4 linked regions of the Arabidopsis thaliana genome follow. The protein of the gene in region 3 interacts with the protein of the main gene of each other region in a biochemical or structural test. Each region holds a gene or a part of one and is shown on either strand. Other genes may lie near its edges. The genes, in order: HSF A4A, AGB1, MPK6 and PHOS32.

Region 1 (5,966 bases), on a different chromosome or scaffold from region 3:
TCACAAAAAATCCAATCATGACCGTTAAATCGGGTGGGTCACGTGATGCTCTCGATCTGCTTGCCATCAACTTGTCATTGCTCGTGACTCCTTTGCTCTTTTTCATTAATTACTTTTTAGTCTTAAAGGCATCTCCAACCATAACACTATTTTGGTGCTGAAATAACACTATATTTGGTGTAGATTCAACACTAAAATATTTTCAATCTCCAACCACAACACTATATATCACACTAAAAATAATATTTTCTATTATTATATTATTAAACCAAATATTATTTTTAATATTTAATATTTTTAATTTATTGATTAATACAAATTACAATCTATATATCAAAATAGCTTTAAATTTTGTAAGTTTATATTTTCAATGGTTAATTGAATTTTATTATGTAATTTCAATAAATCTTTTGTTATAATTTTTATATCTTCTACTGATTAATATTTCATAATCATATTATCAAAATTAAAAATACATAAATAGTTTTGATATTTTTTTTTTTTACTTACAAAATTCAATTAAATTATTAGATGACAATACAAATCATATTTAATATGCTATACCTAAATAAGCTATATTCATATGTAATAATTTTAAAGTAAAAAAAAATATATATTTAATTTTACCGTTGCTACAGTAGCACGCCAAATATAGTGGAGTACTGTACAAAATAAAGGAATCACACTATTATAGTGTAATATTTACAGTTGGGTTGGAGTGAAAAAGTATATTGCATCACATCAAAATACAGTTTTACCGTTACGTTGGAGATGGCCTAAGTATAGTAATTAGAATAAGTATGCTTTTTTTGTGTGTGTGACAACAATTAGAATAAGTATGCTATTCTTTGACATTTATACCATCTGTTACCCAACCAATAAAAATATTCGTACCACTGCTAAATAGAACACATCTTTGATTCCAAGTTTCTTATAACGTACAACACAATTTGTGTGTTTGTCTACACATGCCTTTTATTATCCGACACTAATAAATATTTTGTAGTAGTACTATCCACATTCCACACTTGCCTTTATCTCTATATATTTGTGTAGTACTATCAACATTCCACACTTGCCTTATTCTCTCTATATATGGTGTACTTAAGTATATATATCAACTAACACACGTTGTGTAATATGTCTAATTTTGTGTTTATATGACTTCAATAACACTACAAGTTAACGAAGGACTCAATTCGTCCTACTCCGACCACAATAGTTGGGACCCAAATTAGTTGAAACAATATATTTCATCTTTATCAAAGTAATTTTTAAATTCCATGTAGAAGTTATTCACAACCAATAATAAACCACATTATATGTTACAAATTTTAACATTTTTATACGTATTTGCGATTACATGTAGGTTATCTACAATTTTTGGTTATCTATGATTTCTATAATGTAATTAGGTTATTGATCCTTTTTTTTTTACTGTGTCTTAGTCTTACTGGATGTGAATACTATAGCAGAATTAATTTTAATTTAAAACATTTTAAATTGATTTTTGGTATTGGAATATTGTAATATAGCGTTGACGGGGACAGTGAACTAAGCACATACGTGTGCATTTTTCTTTAAAGAAATATCAATATTGTGCAACGATCGAACCGGATTAATACCACAATGTTCTTTTACCTCAAACAGTAGTGAATTAATGTTGGACATGAATTTAGAAATCCCGTTTCAATAGCATTTGAATAAGCTAAGTAGTGATCTTACACTAACATATATTAATAAGCTAAGCACTTTAATATTTCAGGTTTGATCCGACTTTTTCTTGCACTAACGATACTGCCTTAATTCAATCTTTGTTTACGTATGCACATCAAAATTATTTAAAAAAAACATTCAGATGTTCGACAGAAAAAAAAACCCCAAAAGAAAAAACTAAAGGAGGCATGATATTTACCAAATGCCAAACACAATTGAATATCCTTCAAAACAAGACTTTTCGATTTCGTGTCCTCCAAATAAAAATCAAAGACTTTTCTTTAGTTTATAAACCCCAAAAAGAGATCAACAACGAATTTTCTTACGGCCATAAATGCTTCTACATTAACAAACAAACAAGATCTCTATGCTTATATTCATTGACTATTCACATTTTTATATAATTGAAAGAAATAAACTTTATGCCAAAAACAGCTCTATCATTATCTCATGGGGTGATTTTGATAATAATAAAATAATAAAACATTCCACCAAACCCAATCTTTGTAAAACTATGAAACAGCTGTTCTGTTCTGATTCGTACTTGCTTCATCAACCTTTTTGTAATCAAAAGCTAAATCGTATAATCACAAATCCCTCAGAAACTGTTCGTTTTTTGTTATCGTTTACGCGTTTTTAATCGCTAATCAGTTATATAAAAAATCGACGAAAGGTTTGACGAATCGTCGTCGTCGTAAATCCCCACCGGGTCAATCGACTCGTTTACTTTTCTACGGTCTTCTCTCCTCAAAGAGTCTCTCTCTCTCTCTCTGATATTTCCGCAGCAATAATGGTATAGATAGAGATACAGAAGCAGACAAATTATTGCTGCTTGAAATTCTCTTGTCTGATTAAAATATATATACCCAAGTCCAGAAGCTGTTTAGGTTCGAGAAGCAGAGAGGGTTCGAGAAGCTAATAAGGGTTTCTTCTTTTTGATTTTAATGCTAAAAGGGTTCTAGATTCGTTGAATTTTACAAGGGTTTTAGGGGTTCTTAGAAGCTTTTGCTTGATTGTCTTTTATTTAGAAACAGTGGTGAGTTTTTAGTCTTTCACTTTGTTCAAGTTCGAAGCTTTTTTTGGAGGGAATTTTGGGCTTCTGATTTTGATCGAAACTTACTGATAGTAAGTTCTTTGAGTCCTCCTTAACTGTAGTTTCTGTGTACTGAAGTTATTGAATTGAAAGTTTTTATCTTTTTTGGTTATTGAAACTTTCATAGTTTGATCAAAAGAGTCTCTTGCTCTGTTTTTGGCTCTGTTTTTGTGAGTGTGATTGTAAGCTTTGTTGTGAGTAGATTGAATCAAGGAGTGTGAGAGTTGTTAAAAGTGTTTTCAGAGATGGATGAGAATAATCATGGAGTTTCATCAAGCTCACTTCCACCTTTCCTCACCAAAACATATGAGATGGTTGATGATTCTTCATCCGATTCTATCGTCTCTTGGAGTCAGAGCAATAAGAGTTTCATCGTTTGGAATCCGCCGGAGTTTTCTAGAGATCTTCTTCCGAGATTCTTCAAGCACAATAACTTCTCTAGCTTTATCCGCCAGCTTAACACATATGTAAGTGTTTTCATGCTTTGTTTAAAAGTATTGACTAAATCAATCATCTTCTTAGTGGAATTTGTTTTTGTGTGTAGGGTTTTAGAAAAGCTGATCCTGAGCAATGGGAATTTGCGAATGATGATTTTGTGAGAGGTCAACCTCATCTTATGAAGAACATTCATAGACGCAAACCAGTTCATAGCCACTCTTTACCGAATCTTCAAGCTCAGTTAAACCCGTTGACGGATTCAGAACGAGTGAGAATGAATAATCAGATTGAGAGATTGACAAAAGAGAAAGAAGGATTGCTTGAAGAGTTACATAAACAAGACGAGGAACGAGAAGTGTTTGAGATGCAAGTGAAAGAACTTAAAGAACGATTACAACACATGGAGAAGCGTCAGAAAACAATGGTTTCGTTTGTTTCTCAAGTATTGGAAAAGCCAGGGCTTGCTTTGAACCTATCGCCGTGTGTTCCCGAAACAAACGAGAGGAAAAGAAGGTTCCCTAGGATCGAGTTCTTTCCCGATGAACCGATGTTGGAAGAGAACAAAACTTGTGTTGTTGTGAGAGAGGAAGGTTCTACAAGCCCTTCTTCACACACAAGAGAGCATCAAGTGGAACAGTTAGAGTCATCGATAGCGATTTGGGAGAATCTTGTATCGGATTCTTGTGAGAGTATGTTACAATCAAGAAGTATGATGACACTTGATGTGGATGAATCATCTACTTTTCCAGAGAGCCCTCCTCTTTCTTGCATACAGTTAAGTGTCGATTCACGTCTCAAATCTCCTCCTTCTCCAAGGATCATCGATATGAACTGTGAGCCCGATGGTTCGAAAGAACAGAACACTGTTGCTGCTCCTCCTCCTCCTCCAGTAGCAGGAGCGAATGATGGCTTCTGGCAGCAGTTTTTCTCAGAGAATCCTGGCTCAACCGAGCAACGGGAAGTTCAATTAGAGAGGAAAGACGATAAAGATAAAGCCGGAGTACGTACTGAGAAATGTTGGTGGAATTCGAGAAATGTTAATGCAATTACAGAACAGCTTGGACATCTGACTTCTTCAGAGAGAAGTTGATATGTCAAAGATTAAATTTCTAGTCTGTTTTAGTTACTTGTAAAATAGGGTTTCTCAGTTTTATTGTTTTCGATTACAGTACTTAGGTATGGTTCAGCTGTTTATTTATCACTTGTATGATCTTTCACAGTTCATTGTAGCAGACTTCAATGGTAATGATAAGCTAGAGCTTATGGATAGTATTCATAAAATGAGATTGACCTTCAACAAAATCATAATTTCCAAAGTCCTATATGATGTTGTAGACTTTTATCAGTATACCATTCAATAATTTATGAAGAACACGTCGGAAACAAACAAAGAAAAAAAAAGAAAAGTTACAAGAGACTTATAACGAGTACTATGCCAAATCAAAGAATAATTATTACATCCTTTTTAAGGGATTTTACAGAAAGCAGAAAGCCAAAGAAGCAACTGTTGCACAAACAAAAACATTAAACATAATCTCAAAGAAAACTAATAAATACAAACTTTAATGGTAATGACAAGCTAGAGCTTCTTATGGATATTATTCATAAAATAAGATTGACCTCCAACAAACTCATAATTTGCAGAGTCGAACCTCTTGTTCCTTTACTTCCTTGGCCTTCTTCATTTTCTTTCTCATATCCGACATTTCCTCAATTTGCAACTTAAACAATTCTCCTGCCTCCGCCATTTTTTTCTCTCTGGCATCCTGTTTACGTAGTTGATCATTCTTCTTTTTATCATTGCTTATAATGATTTCCACAAGGTGACGTTGACCCCGGACAAAATTATCATTTGCAAATTCCCATTTCTTTGGATTAATTTTTTTGAAACCCTATAGAAAAAAGAAGATTCAAAGTTAATAAGCAAAACAAAAACTAGCTAAAAGAATATGATTACATCTTACAAAACTAACATATAAGAAACTTACAAATATTTTAAGTTTATAGAAGAAAAAATGTATATGGAGGGTATTGAAGAGTCTACGAAGATGATCTTTGCAAAATTCTTGTGGATTCCAAATGATGAAACTCTTGCCACTTTGGCTCCATGAGATAATAGCATCCGATGAAGGATCGTCCACCATCTCATAGATTTTGGTGGGGAAAGGAAGTTTTGAGGTTGGATAACTGTTATGAGGTGGCAATTGATCCTGTACTTTTTTCACTAGTCGTGCAAATAATTTTTCTGCTTTAAACAATTCCATTCCTTGATCATATTGAACCTCCTGCTCTATTACATCACTTATAATGTTATTTATGAGGTGACGTTGACCTCGCACAAAATTATCATTCGCGAATTCCCATTTTCCAGAGTCGATTTTTCTGAAACCCTAACGAAAAGGAAGATTCAAAGTTGAGAGAATACAAAACTATCTATGATGACATCTTACTAAAGTAATCATATATAAGTAACTTACATGTGAAAAAAGGAAAGAGAAAAAGGTATTTATGCGTTGGAAGCAGAATCTTTGAAGAAGATTGTTGTAAAATTCTTCTGGATTCCAAATGATGAAACTCTTGCCGCTCTGGCTCCAAGAAATTATTGAATCTAATGAAAGATCATCGACCATATCATACGTTGTGGTGATGAAATATGATACTGAGGTTAATGAACCTTCATTTTTGCTCATGTTTAACATTTTGGATCAAAAGCACTCTT
Region 2 (5,988 bases), on a different chromosome or scaffold from region 3:
AACGACTCATTTGGAGAGGAGTACCAGAACGACTCAAATTAATCACAGAAAACAAAGAAAACTCTCTAACTACATTGTTTGTGCTTTTATGAATGTGTTAAAACAGGTTGACCCAAGCACAGGTGAAGCAGAAGATGATGGAGTAGAAGATGAGTACCAGCTAGAGGATCTTGAGGTTGTAGCTGGAGATTACATGGTGAAAGTGGGTGTCTCCAATTTCAGGAATGCGTGGGAAAGCATGGATGAAGAAGATGAGCGTGTAGACGAATATGGCCTTGGCCAAAGAGAGAGTTTGGGAGAAGCTGTAAAGGCTGTCATGGATCTTCTTGGCATGCAGACTTGTGAGGTTAGTCTCTTCCACTTTTTTCTCATACTCTACTGAGACTTGAGGGCTAAAATTATTGTTGATAAAGTCTTTTTTGAGTATATGACCATTTGTTGTGTTCCTGAAATTGAAACTGACACTGGATAAATAACAGGGGACGGAGACAATTCCGCTCAATGCAAGGTCACACACGTGTCTATTGTCAGGTGTGTACATAGGCAACGTGAAAGTGTTAGTGAGGGCACAGTTTGGAATGGACAGCTCAAAGGACATTGCAATGAAGCTGACAGTTAGAGCTGAAGACGTTTCTGTCGCCGAGGCCATTCACGAGATTGTTGCCAGCGGCTAAAACCTCTTGCGTTTCTTCAGTATCAGAGAATGTCATCTATTCCTGCTGCTAAACCTCAAAAATACATCAACTATTATAAATAGCATAGTATTACTTTCTTTCTTTTTTCCTTGCATTATTACTGTCAAATACACTATGGAGGTTTTCTTTTTATTTTATGACGGTGCTTTTTGATTTCTCATTTCTGAATTTTATTATTACCCGTTTTCTCGCCAAGTTGGGAATCTACAGATCATCTTGCTCGGATTTGAAAACCACTACCGTACCGTACAACAGGCTAGGCTTTCTCCATAAGTTAGAAACTCAAAAATAGTAGCGTTTTATCGTCTGCGTTCAATATGAAGAGATGATAGTAAAGTAAAGACTGGTGGGTACACAATTGATTACAGAATTCACATTGAGTAGCGTGTTGAAGGAGTTTAGTTCCCAATGAAGAAATAAATAAATCAAAGCACACTACAAAAAGGGAAGTTTAATTCTTCTAACCACTCCACTATTTCAAACCAAACACCTTCCACAAACCGAACCTTACTTCCCGACTACAGAATATATTAACCAACAACTGGAGACGTGACTCCTACTTTCGTTAAATCTTCTTCAAATCACTCTCCTGTGTCCTCCAAACGCCCATATCTGTGTGAATTCAACGAAATTTCATCTATCCTCTAATTTCCTTACAAACATAACATGGTAAATGATAAGCAGAGACACTACTAAGTACTAACCTTTAGATTTGAATCCCAACTTCCTGTACACAAGGCACTTCCATCTGCTGACAACCCCAAACAGCTTATTCTATTCCTGTGTGAATCCTGCTGTAATCCCAAATCCAATACAACCTGCAAGAAAACTCCTCACGTTTCAATCATAAACCTTACATGAGCGAAAACAACTCTCACCACTCATTACTCAAATACTAATTGCTTACCTCTCCCAAGAGGGTATCCCAAACGTAGCAAGTGTTGTTGCTCGCATAGCCAGCGAAAAGAAGTCTCCCTGACACAGAGAATGCAATGGAGGTGACAGGTCCGTTCTCACCATCACCATGTGGCTGATAGACCTGGAGTTGGTGACCAGTCCTTATGTCATACAGCCTGCATGTTCCATCGTCTGATCCAGTCCCAAATCTATACCCATCCGGAAAGAACTTGACCGTATTAACATCTCCCTCGTGACCATGAAAGGTACGCACTGCTCGGCTTGCAGCACGAGTGTCCCACAACCGTGCTGTGGAATCGCATGAACCAGATATAAACCAGTTTGGGTTTGATCCACTGATTGAGACGCTGCAAGAATGGGGAATAATCACCAAGTAAGAGGGCGAGTTTAACTGACTTGCAATATATCATCCATGCTAGCTTTTATACACAAGTCAAATAAACGTATCTATTCAATAAGACCAAACCTATATGTTGATTCCAACACTCGATCCAAATGGTATGGTTCTGGAAGATTAAGTAGTTTTTCAAATATATTCTACTTTATCAAACAAACTGATGCCAATGAGCCAAGGAGATGAAAGCAATATCCATACCTTAGTACATCAGCAGTATGTCCAGACTGAAATTCACCGCCAAAAACAGAAGTTTTGAGACCAGTAGTTACATCCCATAAGATACAAGTTTGATCACCTGAACTGGTGATAAGGTGGGCATCCTCATTTGGGACATACTGACAGCACGAAACATATCCCCTGTGACCAGTGAGCATTCTTGAAACCGGTACAGTTCCATCCTTGTCCGCCGTTGAGCTAAGGCTAAAGATAGAACATACACTGTCTAATCCACCACACGCAACCGACTGACCATTTGGAGAGAAAGCACATGTCATAACCCATGCACAAGGGAGTTTAATAGCATGAGTTTTCTGACTCGTTAGAGCATTCCACACGATTAATCTCCCATCTTGAGATGCACTGACAATCCGGTTCCTCTCCGGTGTCCAATCTAATGAATAAACCTGCAAATCCCACATGTTAAATCAACAACAAGCTAACATTCACAATCAACTCTCCTGTCTCTACATTTCCGTAGGATCTTAAGCAAATCCTCATACATGATAACTGGTAACATCTTATAAACACCACCAACTAAATAACAAACTAGATACAACCCCAAAATGGAAGCTTTTTATCACAGGCTAGAAAACACTCCACAAAGAAGCATGCTTGAAGGATAAAGATGCAAACTTTGAGTCACCTTTCCGGTGTGTCCCTGAAGAGTACGACAACAAACCAGATCCGTTGCTCCGAAGCTCACCCGAGTACGTCCTTGCGCCGCTGAATACCTCGCCACTGGCAAAATTCAATCCAAATTAAAGAAGAAGAAGATGAGAGAAGAAGAGAGACGAAAAGGAATCCACAAACCATCGGTATCGAGGAGCTGGAGGCGTCTCTGTCTAAGCTGGTCACGGAGGTTATTAACGGTCTCCGTAGCGACGGCGTGGCGTTCTTTGAGCTCGGAGACAGACATTCCGGGATCAGACTTAGGCTTCTCCGTCGCCGATCAAATAAAAGGGGGAAACTTTGTGGGGTCTAGAAGAGAAGAAGGTTCATGATTGAGAGAGGGAGATCGAACCCTAGAAAGAATGGATTTGGGGGAATTACGTGGGAAAAGAGAGAGAGATTAAAAAAGCTTGAGAGAAGAATCAGTCAAGACACAAACACGGCTCTCTTGTTGAATGTTGATGATGGCTTCTCTGACCTGAGACTAGCTAGAGAGAGAGAAGAGGGTCAATAGACATTGACTGTTCCCATTAAAGTGGACCCTCTCACAATGATTAAACGATATCGTTTAAGAGCTATGATTGTTTTTGGTTTTGGACGAGATTTTCGATTCAATATAATGAATTTGAAGGATTTTTAACTACATATTTCTTTTTAAGAAACGTAATTTACAGTACAAGAAAAGAGAAAACATGTTAGTTATTTTGCTACGTGAATTTAATTTGTCTAATAGATTCTGTTTTTCTGAATTGGCTACAAGAACATCAATAATCCAATAAAATTAAGATTGTCTCAAGAGAAAATAAAATAAAAACACATTGGTTAAGCATATCAATATCCAACAAAAGATTATCTCAAGAGAATACAAATCAAAAAAAAAAATTTTAAAAAGTAGACGAAGTGATCATCATCTACATTATTGATCAAGAAGTTGCAAAAAAAAAAAAGAACACTAAAAGGAAAAAAGAAAAAGAAAGCTAGTTAGGTTTTTGATTCATGGGCTCATTCAAAAGCCCATTGATTCTCCTTACGAACAGCTTCTTCTTCCTCAGGTGTAAAATCATTCTCAATGTTGAAAGTTGAACGAATCTCCTCTGGAGTCTTGCCTTTGATCATGTCCGCAACAGTTTGGCATGTGAGATCAAACAAGCTTTTTATGTTGAGGTAATTCGCAGCAAGGATGAGTTCAAAGATGGTGGATTGTTCGAGATCCATGAACTTCTCGTCCCACTTGTTGAGATCCTCTTCAGAGATAGGATTAGCCTCGTCGACGTGGTATTTCTTGCAGTACTCGATCACTTTCACAAGAATCTTGCTTTCCACGTTTGCAAGAGGGATTCCATCAGCAACGCAATCGTCTTCAACCATATGCGCTATGGTCTGCGATTGGATTGCTACCGCTTCTTCCACCTCAAACGACTGACCATCGGAGCTCATCAACACGATCATCTTCGAAGACATTGTGTGTTCCTTGTGGAGGAGGTTTTTCACTGTGAAGCAAATTTGATGAAAGATTTAAGAATTTAGAGAGCGAACAAATTGTGTTAAGGTGATGAAGTTGTGAAACCCTATGCGTCTTTGTATTTATAAGCCCTAGCTAGAGTCGGTGAGATCAACCATTCCTTTTTTAAGAAGGAAATAGTTATTTTCCTTAACCGAAGAAAATAAGTAAATTATTTGTCGACTCCTTTTCATAAAAGGTAATTTCAGATGAGTAAACCAAAATAAACCGGGTCAAATTTTCATTTTTTTGTTGTAGGTTCGGCTCAAATCCTTATTTTCAGAAAATGTAAATTCAGTAAAGTGAACCAGCTAAACCGGTTTAAATTTACAATAGGCCCAATTATAAAGGTACGGCGTAAAATGTAACAATTTAAGAGGGATATAGATATACATTGGAATATAGGAAACTTTATCCAAAGATAATATTCAGATTCATTTATAAGAAACCAAAAGAAGTCTAGTAGATATAGCCGTTACAGACTATATAATACAATTGAGATAGAATGTGTGTAACCATTATAAACTAATAACAAACTCGATTACACTTAATACAGAGGAAGGAGAGGAGATTAACAAGTAGGCGTAATTAATTAATTACTTACCTCCAAGAGCTAATTGAGCCATTTACATATATACATGGAAGATAAGGGACAAAAAGATGAGTAGAAAAGATAGAGAAGAAGAGACTTTTGGTTCAGTTGCTCCATTCTTCTTCTCTACTTTGTCTGAGCTCACATACTTGTTCATTACTGCTTTACTTCCTCCTCCTCCTCCTCCTCCTCCTCCTCCTCCTCCCGGATATACGCAATTGTTGTAACCTATCAAATTCAGATTCAAGATAATTAAGAAACCCAATTAGTATAATAAAGCATGTAGAAAACCGATTATTTGGTCAATTAAAGCATTTACAAGGCCTAGCTACAATAAAACATAGTAGAAGAGAATTGATCATTACCTTCAACAAACAAAAGCAATTACTAAGTCTTTGTTACAACTTTTTATACTAAGTTACTAAGTTGAAACTACTATTGGTAGGGTGTGAAAGTAACGGGGAGAGAAATCTTACTAGGGTTTTGGGAAGTGACTGTTGCGGTTTTAGAGAAATCGCAGTCTGTAGGCTGCTTAGGAGATTTCTGAAAATACATATTCATGGCATATGCTGCGTGAGAGACCACATTGTTCGGCTCGAAACAAGCCCCTCCTGGTTGTATCGCACCACAGTCTATTCCATGTCCGCACGCCCAATCCAAGCTCGCTTGTAACTCCTCATTCGTTGCACCCTTCTTTGGTACACACCACCCCGACGATGTCACTTTTCCTGATGGTGTCTAATTTTATGATCAAAACATAACCTCACAAATTAAAACATTGTTATTTATCTGCATTTGCGTTTACATGTTATAATAAATTACTTTCCCTAAATAAAAACCACAACTTCTAGTATCTAACCTGACTACTGCTGCTACTCTTGGCAAGGCCAACATCATAGACCATGGAAAGATCAGTTTTGAAAAGCCCGAAAGCCCGTTCTGAAGATGGTCCAGGCTTTAGATTCTCATCATACAGTGCGAAAATGTAAGTGTCAAC
Region 3 (6,205 bases):
TATTATCTTGTTACCAAAACATTTCTGATGAGGCGAGTCGCAGATGGATGGTTCATTTCATTCACCAGAATGGCATGCAGCTCGTTTGGCCAGTCTCAAGACTACACACACTCTTACTTGGGAAGAATATAAGCAGAAGCAAAAGGTATAGCTGCTGATCGATAAATCGATGTTTTTAGGAGCATCGACAGATAAGAAATGTTTCTCACTCTATATGCTTCATGTGACCGCTCTTTAGGAAGAAGAATTGAAAAAGCAAGAAGTCGAAGCAGATACCGATAAATTGATGCGTGAGTATAGAGCTCAGCTAGATGCTGAAAGGGCAATGAAGCTCTCTAAGGGAAGGAACTATTCTAGTGACATATCCAGGAAAGGTATACACTTACAATAAATTTAAGCAGATGGAATGTCATACAATCCGCAGTTCGAGTCTTGCTTTTCTAATATGCCATTTGATCTTACAGATAGGAAGGAGAGAGAGCTCACAGATAGAAAGTGCAGAGATTCCAAGAGGAAGAAAAGCAAAAAGAGAAAGGTGCTTACATAACAACTGCATCGAGTTTAGTTTGAACATCTTCTATAATTCTGTTGGCTTGAAGCTTTTAGCTTACATTGTGTTTATTGATTTGCAGCATTCGAAAAGGCGATCATCAGACTCAAGCTCATCTTCTGAATCTTCAAGTAGTGACAAAGACGAATCTAGGAAGTCAAGGTCAAGTTCTAAGAGGCCAAAGAGGGAGAGGAAACACAAGTCTAGAGGCAGACACTCAAAACCAAAGTAAAGATGAGGCTGATGGTCCTGCACCACAATCAAAATTCTTTGGCAGTCTTAAGAGTTGACACAGTGCAAGACTTGAGATTGTGTTCATCAAATGCTCAATTTTCACCCCGAGGACATGATTTGTACTATCCTCATCTCCCTGCAATATTTCTCTCCCTGCTGTTTTATAAAACAAGAAAGCTGACAGTAATGGCAAGTATTTTGTAGAGGAATTGAAGGTGGGCTATCATAACATAACTATTTCTGAGACAATTTAAGTCTTAAATAACTGCAACAACAAAATGAGGGCAAATTACAAATACGAATAGGAAAAAAAAAAACAGAGAGAACAAATTATCCAAAAGACTGAAATATAAAGTTTGAGACCCATCCCCTTCAACATCTCTCACAAGTATACACAAAAGACAAACAATGATCTTTCCTCCTTTTAAGAATGTTGTCCAAACCAAATAACGCCAAACCCTTATCTCATCTTCATCTCCCAAATGCTGTTCTTCAAACTATTGCTGATATTCTGGATTGAAAGCAAGCGCCTCGCGGTAGATTAGTTCCTTCATCTGCTCCTCTGAGAGTGCATGGTTTTCAAAATCAAAGTTGAAAGGTATTGTACACTCTGGCTCATCGCTTATGTCGTGCAACGAGTTCAGGTATGGATGGGCCAATGCGTCTAAAACTGAATCAAGAATCGAGAATCAAGAATCAATAAGAGGTGATGACTACTAACTAACTCTTAAATAACCAAGAACTCATTATTATTATTCCTTCACTAGATTGAATCTTTTTTCGGGATTTTGGAATGATCCGTACAAGCAATTCCAGTTATTTTGCAAGTTAAAAATGGTATAGAGGTTAGGGACTAACCTGTGATTCTCCGTCTAGGATCAAATGTTAACATCTTCTCGATAAGGTCTATAGCTAAAGGATGCACTGTCGGGAACTTATCAGTGATGGATTGGCGAGGATAAGGTGGAAGCTGTCTTATGTATCGCTTTGCGTTTTCGTTCAAGAACTCGAGCTCTTCTTCTGATGGAGTTCCTATGAGCTGCAAAAAGAAAATGGTCTCGGTCTGTTTCTTTAGTGCTTCAAAGCTTATTTTTGGGTCAAAGAAGGGTTACTACTTACCTCCATGAGCAAGCGAAGCTGATGGACATGATCTCGTCCAGGGAAGAGTGGCTTACGGTCCATTAACTCCATGAAAATACAGCCTACAGACCAAACATCGATAGCTGCAGTATAATCAGAAGAGTTTAAGAGAAGCTCTGGTGCACGGTACCATCTCGTGACAACATATTCAGTCATGAAATCACTCTCAGAAGTGACTCGAGCTAGCCCAAAATCGCAGATTTTTAGGTCGCAGTTTGCGTTCAGGAGGAGATTACTTGGTTTCAAATCCCTGTGAAGCACATTTGCAGAGTGAATGTATTTCAATCCACGGAGGATCTGGTAAAGAAAATACTGCACAAAGAGACAAGTGAAATGGAGTTCAATTAGTCCCCGTTTTCAAGTCGAGTTATATAGGTCAACAAACAATCTCAAAACTCAAAACCTGGCAATGTTCTTCGGATAATGCTTGATTTGACCGAATGATTTGATGGAGATCAGTGTCCATTAACTCATACGCGATGTAAACATCGTTGAAAGCGTTTCTTAATGGTGGCGGGATAATATCTCTGATTGCAACAATCTGATTTAACAGAAAGATGGTAAGTGTTTTATCAATCGGAAATGTTTTACACGTTGCAAACGCCAACATAGATAAACGGTTACATTTTACGATTTGATTTCTAGAATTTAAAATCTTGACGCAGATGGAAAAGATCATACTACTGAATAAGCGCGAAACAATCCGTATCAAACCGAAAAAAATACAAGCACACTGTGTCAACATTCATGTATATTCCCTTAAATCTAAATGCAATAAGCAACCACCAGATACAACACATTCATACACAGAACCTAATCAGCCCATACAATATCAATCAAATATATACATCATCTATTTACCTAAACAATTTTGCATCAGCTAGTAGTTACCATGTTTCGAGTGTATTTAAATCTACAATCCTATTATGTTCTACATAAGACTCTATAAACAGATGACTCTTAGTTAACAAAGAAAGAGCAAAAACTGACATTTTCATGATCCATGTGACGAAGCAGCTTGATCTCACGGAGAGTCCTCTTAGCATCAATCTTATTGTCAAAAGCGTTAGCAATTTTCTTAATCGCAACGCTCTCGTTAGTTTCAGAATTCATAGCCGAACTGCAAAATCAAAATCAAATAAAACCACAAAAGGATAAAGCTTTCATTGAAACAAAAATAAATCCCAATCATAATTAGAGCTCAAAAACGATACAAAGGAATCAATTTTACAAATTGCGGATCAAAAGTAACCAACTTTACCAAAACCCAATCAACAAAAATCATTTTTTATTTCAATTAGAAGCAAAAGCCAAAAATCAAAAGAATCGGAGAAAAATTACCAAACGATGCCATAAGCACCCTTGCCAATAGGCATGATCGGAGGCTTATACTTAGCGGTGACCTCGAAGATGTTTCCAAATATGTTATACTGAATAAACCTACCACCATGGCTAAGAGTCGCCGGAATATTCTCAATCCCAGGCATCTGAGGCGATGGAGCCGCCGCGGGAAAACCTCCAGGAGCTTCTGTCATCTCTGTATCAGCCGCCGGTTGACCTGAACCACCGTCCATGACCGGTAAAGATGAAAGCTTTTGAGGTTGGTGGTGGTGGTGGATCGAGAAGAGGGAAATGGAAAATCTTTTTTTTTTTTTTTTTTTGTAATTTTGGGGTGAGTGAATTATGAATGAAATTGGAGAAATTGATATTCGTTGGTTTTGGGGTCAAAACAGATCTGAGAGACAAGAAGTGAAAGTCATGTGCGTACGGATCTATTAATTTTTTTATTTTTTTTTGGGTCTTCACTTGACCCGTGTGTGTAAGCAAGCAAGCAAGCCACTGTTCAAAGTTTGATCCTTTATTCTCATGTTTAACACTGTTATGGTTACAAACGGCATCGTTTTACATTGACTTATCACCATTTTTTTTTTTGTTCCATTGACTTCCTTCCTTAATCGTTATCATTAACAAGTAACAACAGCATTTTTTTGAATGTAAATGTTGGGTGAAAATGAATCATAGATAAATGTAGTTATTATCATTGATATTATGTTTTTGGGTTGTACTTTAATTTTGAGATTATTTTTGTAACATGAAAAATCGCTAAATTTTATGTAGATTGAAAAACACAAAAACTTATAAACCGCCAAAAGTTATTAGATAGTATCTAAATTAACTATTTAAGTATTTAAAGTTCTCTATCAAGAATTTCGATGAACTTGATAGTCGTATAGTGTGAATGAGGCCACAACATGAAACATGCTTGGTTGAGGGTTATTTGGATTTTTAAAAAGTATGGTGGTTCAATTTGATAATATTCCAAAATTACAAGGATCATCTCAATATTTTTTACATAATGAAGCAATAAATCTCTTCTCTTGTGTTATACAGTTGGGTTCGAACTCGAGACGGCTTGCTTTCTGCCTCTATCCCTCTTTCACACGAGAGCTCTTACTGGGTTTAGGGTTTTCGATAGATTGGTAAGTGGCCACGACACTAAGCGTCACCGAACCAGTTGTCAACTAAATAGGGAAACTTTAGGCTTCTGTCGCATTTAGGCACGATTCTCTGTAGAAGAAAAAAATATCAGCTTTGTTGTATCTTTCGGATTTTCGAGTGATCATCAAACCTTCATCACCAGGTTCCTTTCGATTCCATTTTAATTTTGTGGACTTTGGAGTAATTTGCTTAAAGAACCAATTTTTGATTGATATTTTCTGCTCTCCTTTCATTTTGACATTTTGATCTGGTTTTGAGAACTTTGGTTGAGTAACAGTAGCCTGCGTTTAAAAGATGTTAGCTTTGGATGTATAGATGTAGAGTTAGGTTTCTAATTGCCTTTATTTTTGCTTTGGTTGATGATTTATGGTTGATTGACTCGTTAAAGGGAAGTGCGCTGATTTTGTGGACAATTATGTTAGACTGATGGGCATGAATGTGACCAATTGATTTTCTCTCCGTTTCCATTATGATGCAGAAGAAAGTTCTATTTTGCTGAAATGTTTTGCAACTTTCAGTTGTTCATTCATACCATGATTGTACTCATCTTTGATCTCGTTGTGAGTACTATCACTTACTCTTGGCGTAGTAGTTCTTAGGATGAGGTATAAGTATAACAATTCGAAAATTCGTCGTATTCAATCTGTGTAATCTGTTTTTCACTATATGAACAATATGTCAATGTCCTGCGATGCCTCAGGGCTTCTGGAGTCACTTCTGCAATGTTAAAAAGAGTAATCAAAAGTTGTTATATCATGCTTCAGAGTTCTCTCTTGTTATTCCTCATCTTAGTATTTATGAAACTGTGATATTGAAGATATAACATAATCTAATACTTCTGATACTTGGGTCTCTTCTGTAACATGTGACACATTGGATCTTGCAGGTTAAAGACTTTGAAGTAATGGCGGGATTTCCAGGTTTTAGTTACCTAGGCCCAAAAGGCAAGAACACGGTTGTAGCTGGTGGCTTGACAGCTTTTGTTTTTGGGGTATACTTCTACACAATGAGGGCGGTTGGTGGCACAGACGAGCTTCAAGTGGCTATAGACAAGTTCGAAGGCCAAAAACAGGTGGACACTGACACCAAGGTTCCATCTAAGGTCTAATCCTCACTGGCTTGATATGTCCAACCAAACCCGTTATTTATCTTTGCTTTCCAAGCTTCTTTTGTCACGAAAGTGGCTCGTTTCTGACATCGAGTGGCATCTGTGTTTGAGTCTCAGTCCAATCTATAATACATTGATTAAACAAGAGAATGTATGATCAGGACATGGTTTTGATGTTCTTGACATTGTCTTAAGTTCTCAACTTTATCATACTCTTTGTACCTAAACGTTTGGTCTAAGCTAAGGTGTGGCTATCCATAAATTTCTGTTACTACGCCGTCAAAATCAATCAAAAGAAACCCAATTTGTCAGCCCAAAAAACATGCAGGAGATGGGTTATTTTGACAAAAAGAATAGTATCGGGTTCATTCCGTCATAAAATAGGGTCTTATCAATATTTTGCAAATAAACCAAAATTAAATACAGACTTGTTTAATTTCTGAATCTCTCTCTTCCTCTTTCTCGCGAGCTTTTTCTCTCTGGGTTTAGGGTTCCGGTAATTTTGCGACGACACCGAGCGATTCGTGCCTCCCTCCCCTTCCTTTGACTTCGGTGCGTAACTTCTTTCTATGTAGGGTTACTCTTTTAAGTAATTTCGTTCTATGAAGTCTTCTGCTGGAATTTTGGTATCTATCAAGCTTTTTTTCTTGAACTCTTCACTGTCTGTAATATAA
Region 4 (6,322 bases), on a different chromosome or scaffold from region 3:
CAAGGTCTGAACCTTTCTGTGTCCCGGCTAGCTCCTTTCCCGGCATGTTCTCTAACTTCGTTGAGCTCTTGGATGTTAACGAAAACGTTACTGTCGATCTGTCTGATTACTCCATGAATGGTGGATTTGGTTATTTCGGTGCACCAGCCCACATCCCACCTCAAAAACTAGACTAGTTCCATCTCAATCTCGCCAAGCAATAGACTAGTAGTAGTACACTATATTCCACTGTTACAACATGTTAACTATGTACCGGTTCTTAAATTAATTAGCTAATGACGTGTATGCTGTTTATGCGTTTGTTTGTTCCCTCATGTCAAACCATTACATTAGCTAATGACTTGTATGCTATTTATGCGTTTTTTTTGTTCCCTCATGTCAAACCATTCTCGTTGGTGTTAACATCTCAAGCCAATTGTCTCATTGAGTTTGTCAAGTTCTTGTATTGTATTTTCCCAGCCAATGCTTGGATTTCTAAGAGGCTGTTTCAGCTTTCTCTTCTAGAATCTATAGTTTTCGCGACCCAGTGGTTTTAGTTAAAGTGCTTTGAAGCCAAAACTAGGTGTTTTCAAGAATGGGGATACTGAAATTTGGACCGTGTCATGTTAGGAAGACTTGCTATAAGTACATAGAGGTTAGTGTGACCATTTCACCTCTTGGAATGTGAGTTTATCTGACTGTCTAGTGTTTGTGATGTAGAAGTCCATTATTCTTGTCTGTGTATCAGTCTAAACTAGATACTCAAAGGAACATTACATTTGCAAGAATATAGATTTGTACCAAAGAGCATTAGGATTAATCAAAATAGGACTACTGAGAACTGAAGGGACAGATTTGATGTCCATTGTTTGATCCGTGCCTCTCACAGTTGAACTTGTTTGTCAAATCAAGTTAAATTGTTTGTGAATTTAGCGTTGTATTATATGTGAGATCTATAGGTATATTTGTCATATGGTTTTCCGTATATTCATGCCCTGTTTCTGATTAAACAAACACTGAATCCAAAAAAAAAAAAATGATGTAAAAGGAAGAAATTTCTTGTACATATCCGCCGCGTGAAAAGATGTAAAATCCGATAATTATAGTCATCTACTCTAAATTTGCAAAAGAAATTAGACCTAATAACCAAACAAGTTTTACGAATTACCAAACATTTTTGTTTCTTTGGTTGTTTCATTTTTCTTTTTCTTTTGGAGAAATCCATCTTTCATAACTTCAATCCTTAGATTTACCTAAATTCCAACAAGTCAAACCAAAACCATAAATCAACCAAATCTTTATTTGATGTTACCATGTAACTAAATTCTAAAATACCAGTCTTTATTAAAGAAACGTATAATCCTTCTTCTTCCTAAAAGGGGTTCATTAATCATACAACTCCTTCATGTTTAATGCAGAAACCACTCAACACTCATTCATATTACATAACCCAAAGAAATTCATCAACATTGTCATAGCTAAAGAAAGAACACACATTCAACACTCCTCTGAACATTCCGCTAACACCCCTACTTGCTTTGTGTACCTTATTAATTCCAAAAACATGAAGAAGATAATCAAGAGACAGGTAGACCATATAAGCTTACAGATATCGTTGATGTGAGTTTTATATTACCTAGAAGAGAAGAGGGTGATATATTACTTAGATCCCACGAATCATCACTCATCTGTGACAGAAATACAGGAACAAAAAAGGAATAAGACATTGTCATTTGGTCAGATCATAGATATATCTACTGGAATAACACTTTATTCACAACACACATTTCACTGTTCGAAGATACACAGAGAGGGATCACTTAAAATATCATGCAGATTATACATTGCTAGTCGTGATGCAGTATGGTGGAGATAACAAATGTAACCTATAGATAATAGCCTTTTTACCTTATCAGTGTACATTCAGATCTTTTTACAAATTCACTAGGTAGCTCCGATCTTGTAACGTATACCAAATGCTCCAGAACTAACACCAGTGACTATCTTACAGAAGAAGCAATCTACGAAACTCAGTAACTTTATTTGACAAGTTTTCATCTGAACTTGTCATAAAAGTAAGAAGGTAGTGCCTACATCTCAGTTAGATTTGATATCTAAACATTACCCAAGAGTATAGATAAAAAAAATTTTGGCATGTTAACCAGATTCTTCCTACATATTCCCATTCTTTCCTAAATTTTCCTCTGTTAACATTGTAACCTTTCCTAGTCTGGACCAAAGCAAACAACAACAAAAAGTATAATTGAAGCTTCCTTTTTAGAACTACTGCACTATTTGATTTTCAATGTTTCATACAACAACAAGTATACAGTCACCAACTTACGAAATGAGGGGTTATAGAAGACATAATTTCTTATCTGCCTTTTCCCAAGTCAAGAATCATAATACTTGGATGCTAATGATACTTAATGTTGCCTCAAACTAAACCGAACAGAGGAAAAATAAATCAAACAAACTCACTTAGAAAAGTTTATCTTCAAGGGTCAAAAGAAACTTTCCTCTGGACTAGAGTACTTTTAATCTAAAGTCTAAACGCAATCAATGGGTAGTGTAAACAATGCAAGAAATAGAACGATGTCGGCGCTTCTTTGTCCCATGTGTAGGGGAACAATAATCTTCTAACATATATTACAGCAAATTAGCCATAACCACCAAAAATTATGATATATACTATACAACTAACTTCAGTAAATAGAAACAGTTTCGGCAGATGAAGAAGATATATACAAATTCATAGAACGAATACACTAAAGCTAGGAAATCATCTATGTACATGACCATCATCCTCAATTTTCGGGTAAGCAAGGCAATGAACATGGACAGCATTTCTCACTAAATCGACAAAATCATCTTAGTTCAGCTATAAAAGGATCTCATTTTCCTGTGCTACCATCTATGGCAATCTTTTTCACAACATATTCACGTGATCACAAAATTCACAACACTCACTACACTACTGAATCTAAATCTGACACATCAACAGAAACATCCATGAAAAAAATAACAACGAAAGCAGCTTATCTAATCAATCACTGAATCACATAGAGATAGAGATAATTGATCCCTGACCTTTGATGTGTTCATGATGAGCAGAAGCAGAAGCAGCAACAACATCTCCATCATCATCTCCACCAGACTTGACAGTAACAATAGGCACAGGTCCATCACGATCATCAGGATATCTAACCACAACAACAGGACAAACACAGTGATGAACACAGTAATCACTAACAGAGCCAAGCTTGCCATCACTTCCTCTTTTTTTCTCAGCACCAAAACCTCTACTTCCCATAATCACAGCACTAAGACCAAGCCTCTCAATCTCAAGACATAATCTCTCTCTCATATCATGATCTTTCACTATATGGATCTTATAAGGAAACCCTAACTCCTTCAACGGTTTAGCTAGATCCGCAACTTTTGTTGAAGTAAAAGCATCAAAATCCTCTTGACTAGGTTGAGGTTGAGCGTTTGGATCTTCAATTTGAGTTTTCAGAGGGAGAGGTCCCCAATCGGCACCGAAGAGGACGGAGGTTGGAGAAACGTGGAGAAGAACAACGGCGTCTCCGGGACGGATGTAGTGATCTACAGCCCAACGAACGGCGAAAGAGCTTTCTTCGGAGAGATCAACTGCGACTCCGATTTTACGACGAGCTCCGGCGGTTGGTGTTGGAGTTGCGGCGGAGGAGGGAGTAGATGAGGAGTGGTGATGGTGAGAGTGACGTGGAGATGGAGGGTGATGGATCTTGATGTTTGGAAGCTGTGGATGATCGGAATCTGCTGGATTCATGATTTTTTTCAGATGTTGTTTTTGTTCGTCGGAAAGTGGGAGTGAGGGAGGTTTCTCTTAACGGAGAAGAAAGAAGCGTTGTTTTTGTTTTTTTAATAGAACATTAGACTGCATGCCGTTATTTATATACAAAGACGACAAGCATTCTAATATAGATGTAGTTAATAGAAGGAGTGATCCAACGGTCAGGATCAAATCTGAGCGCCATAGTTTTGAAGAAGACGATTCACTAGATCTCCGGCGTCGGTGATTTCCTCCACTTCCTTTTCTGGCAGCTAGAAGACGAAACCTCACTCAAATTCTGATCTCTTTGTATAATTCGATCGAGTTATTCGTATGATTCGTATAGATCGGTGACTCAGATGGCGAACTACTTGGCTCAGTTCCAGACGATTAAGAATTCCTGCGATCGTCTCGTCGCCGCCGGTGAATTTCTCCCCAATTTTTTTCAAATGTGTACATTTCTAGGGGTTTTGTTTCTCTACGATTGCTGCATTCGATTAGGATCTTATTTCTCCTTTTTTTTTTCTGCCACATTTTGCGATGTCATAGCTATATATTAGTGGAAAGTTTCTCAATGTAGGTGAAGGATCAAATCAGATGATATGAATCTGTTAGGTTGTTGGTTGGTCAGGTTATACTCATGAATGAAGCTAAAAGTGCTTAGAAATGAGCATCCATTCCTGAAGGGAACTGATCATGATGATTTCTTTTGTTTCTGATCTTAAACTCTACTTGTTCGTTAGTATTAAGATGTCTTCTCTTTATATTGTTCCCGTTGCTCGTTGTAATAGTGGTTGCTTGCATATTCTTTTACAGTGGAAGATGTGTGTGATCTGTGGCCTACAGTGAAAGGTTTATTTGAAGAACATCAGCCATTAAAAAGAGCATTCTTGACTAACAAGACTCGAAATCCGGTTTTTGTTGAGAACTTGCCGGTTGAATTCATATTAACTACAGACGCGAGGCTTCGTAGTCGATTCCCGCAGGAGCAGTATTTGTTCTGGTTTCGAGAACCATACGCAACTATAGTTCTTGTCACATGTGAGGTACTTGCTTGTTGATATGATGATATGTGTTTTTTTTTTCTGTATCAATCTTGGCAGTGGAGAGTAGTCACGTGCCAAAATATGAAACAAAGATGATGTGCTTGATGATATTCGTTTCTGTTTTCCTTTTCTATAAGAGATAAGAACCTATGTTTAGATAGTAGGTACCGTTTCTAATGTATATGGTTTCTGGATTAGGTTAGATTTATCACTTATGTGGTTCGACAATTTTTGTTCTTCTAGCTTTTCTGAGTATACCTTTGACCTTGCAGGATCTTGATGAGTTTAAAAACATTCTCAAACCACGTCTGAAATTAATTGTTCAGAATGATGAGAGGGAATGGTTTATTGTATTTGTATCTAAAGCTCATCCAAGTAATGATCAAGCAACTAAAAATGTCAAGAAAGTATATGCGAAGCTTGAAGTTGACTTCAGTTCAAAAAAGAGAGAAAGGTAAGCTATGCAGATTGGACTGTGTTTATGTTTTTTTGCTCTGATACAAGCAGGCACGAACCGAAAAAATACCATGCCAGATTCCTAATGAGACTTGATTGCTCCTACTATAGTTCTAACATAAATAGATTAGGTTAAACAGTTTGCACGATTGCAATCACTCATATTTTTGCTAGATGCATAAACTAAACCCATTTAGCAGTAATCACTCATTTAAAGGAAGTTATCTTTAAGTTATATACTTATGGAAATGCAGACGGGATAAACGCTAAAACACCTTTTTATTTACTTGATCAGTTTTACTTCATTTATGCATGCCATACATAGTCTTCATATGATAATTTTTGCAATGCTTTTAAGGTGCTGTAAGCTGGATGTACATGGCCCTGAAGGAAATTTTTGGGAGGACCTTGAATTAAAGATTACCGAGTGCATCAGGAATACCTTGGATAGGCGCGCACAATTCTACGAGGATGAGATACGCAAGCTCAGTGAGCAGCGGTTTATGCCAATATGGAACTTTTGTAACTTTTTCATCCTGAAGGTTAGCTCTCTTCTCAATTTGTGAATGGAAAGTGACATGTGACTTCTACGCAAATGAATAAAATGGTTTAAAATCCTGTTTCTTCCTTTTTGTAGTTAGATTTTATACTTTTTTAATAAAGTCTCTGATGGAGATTTATGTGCCCCTTTTGTTTCTTCCATAGAAGTATGAAAATAATCCCCAAGCTTAGAAATCAACATTGGTCCTTGCAGTCACATTTGATGAAACTTTTCTCATTTTCTTAAAGGTCATAATGTTCTATGCTGTCTCAGGAAAGTTTGGCTTTCATATTTGAGATGGCTCATCTTCATGAAGATGCATTACGTGAATATGATGAACTAGAGCTCTGCTATTTGGAAACAGGTTCTTTTCCTACCTCTATATCTCTCTCTTGCAGATCCGTGGCAGCAAAAATTTCATGTTTTGTCTATTTGTTATATTTTATATTCTTAGGTTTTGACAAACCTGACATGTATCTTTATCTC

The links.
Region 1: of the proteins of MPK6 (region 3) and HSF A4A, one has a biochemical effect on the other in vitro, tested with the Arabidopsis thaliana proteins (one study listed by BioGRID).
Region 2: the proteins of MPK6 (region 3) and AGB1 form a complex in vitro, tested with the Arabidopsis thaliana proteins (one study listed by BioGRID).
Region 4: of the proteins of MPK6 (region 3) and PHOS32, one has a biochemical effect on the other in vitro, tested with the Arabidopsis thaliana proteins (one study listed by BioGRID).

Annotation. Positions count from the first base shown.
Region 1 is NC_003075.7:10,346,140-10,352,105, reverse strand, and holds HSF A4A (heat shock transcription factor A4A), read left to right. Parts: upstream 1-2,203; 5' UTR 2,204-3,054; coding exon 3,055-3,276; intron 3,277-3,353; coding exon 3,354-4,337; 3' UTR 4,338-4,627; downstream 4,628-5,966. Other genes in the region: AT4G18870 (E2F/DP family winged-helix DNA-binding domain-containing protein), read right to left, coding at 4,879-5,139, 5,236-5,637, 5,725-5,937. UniProt on the Arabidopsis thaliana protein: Transcriptional activator that specifically binds DNA sequence 5'-AGAAnnTTCT-3' known as heat shock promoter elements (HSE).
Region 2 is NC_003075.7:16,476,122-16,482,109, forward strand, and holds AGB1 (GTP binding protein beta 1), read right to left. Parts: upstream 3,500-5,988; 5' UTR 3,146-3,499; coding exon 3,040-3,145; intron 2,968-3,039; coding exon 2,873-2,967; exon of another isoform or gene 2,649-2,872; coding exon of another isoform or gene 2,634-2,648; coding exon 2,209-2,633; intron 1,961-2,208; coding exon 1,603-1,960; intron 1,525-1,602; coding exon of another isoform or gene 1,514-1,524; coding exon 1,400-1,513; intron 1,308-1,399; coding exon 1,272-1,307; 3' UTR 910-1,271; downstream 1-909. Other genes in the region: AT4G34450 (coatomer gamma-2 subunit, putative / gamma-2 coat protein, putative / gamma-2 COP), read left to right, coding at 107-346, 480-674; SK12 (SKP1-like 12), read right to left, coding at 3,901-4,359; AT4G34480 (O-Glycosyl hydrolases family 17 protein), read right to left, coding at 5,026-5,219, 5,468-5,729, 5,851-5,988. UniProt on the Arabidopsis thaliana protein: Guanine nucleotide-binding proteins (G proteins) are involved as a modulator or transducer in various transmembrane signaling systems.
Region 3 is NC_003071.7:18,135,770-18,141,974, reverse strand, and holds MPK6 (MAP kinase 6), read right to left. Parts: upstream 3,730-6,205; 5' UTR 3,499-3,729; coding exon 3,266-3,498; exon of another isoform or gene 3,045-3,265; coding exon 2,915-3,044; intron 2,466-2,914; coding exon 2,328-2,465; intron 2,237-2,327; coding exon 1,904-2,236; intron 1,824-1,903; coding exon 1,643-1,823; intron 1,455-1,642; coding exon 1,282-1,454; 3' UTR 987-1,281; downstream 1-986. Other genes in the region: AT2G43795 (corepressor), read left to right, coding at 44-145, 239-374, 469-535, 633-840; AT2G43780 (cytochrome oxidase assembly protein), read left to right, coding at 4,924-4,983, 5,310-5,531. UniProt on the Arabidopsis thaliana protein: Mitogen-activated protein kinase (MAPK) which regulates abscisic acid (ABA) responses in a MAPKKK20-MKK5-MPK6 cascade involved in root growth (e.g. root cell division and elongation) and stomatal response.
Region 4 is NC_003076.8:22,095,904-22,102,225, forward strand, and holds PHOS32 (Adenine nucleotide alpha hydrolases-like superfamily protein), read right to left. Parts: upstream 3,949-6,322; 5' UTR 3,791-3,948; coding exon 3,070-3,790; coding exon of another isoform or gene 3,038-3,069; exon of another isoform or gene 1,980-3,037; coding exon 1,924-1,979; 3' UTR 1,668-1,923; coding exon of another isoform or gene 1,660-1,667; 3' UTR 1,616-1,659; intron 1,526-1,615; 3' UTR 1,017-1,525; downstream 1-1,016. Other genes in the region: AT5G54420 (hypothetical protein (DUF295)), read left to right, coding at 1-176; CLUB, read left to right, coding at 4,153-4,216, 4,610-4,839, 5,112-5,293, 5,654-5,837, 6,110-6,200.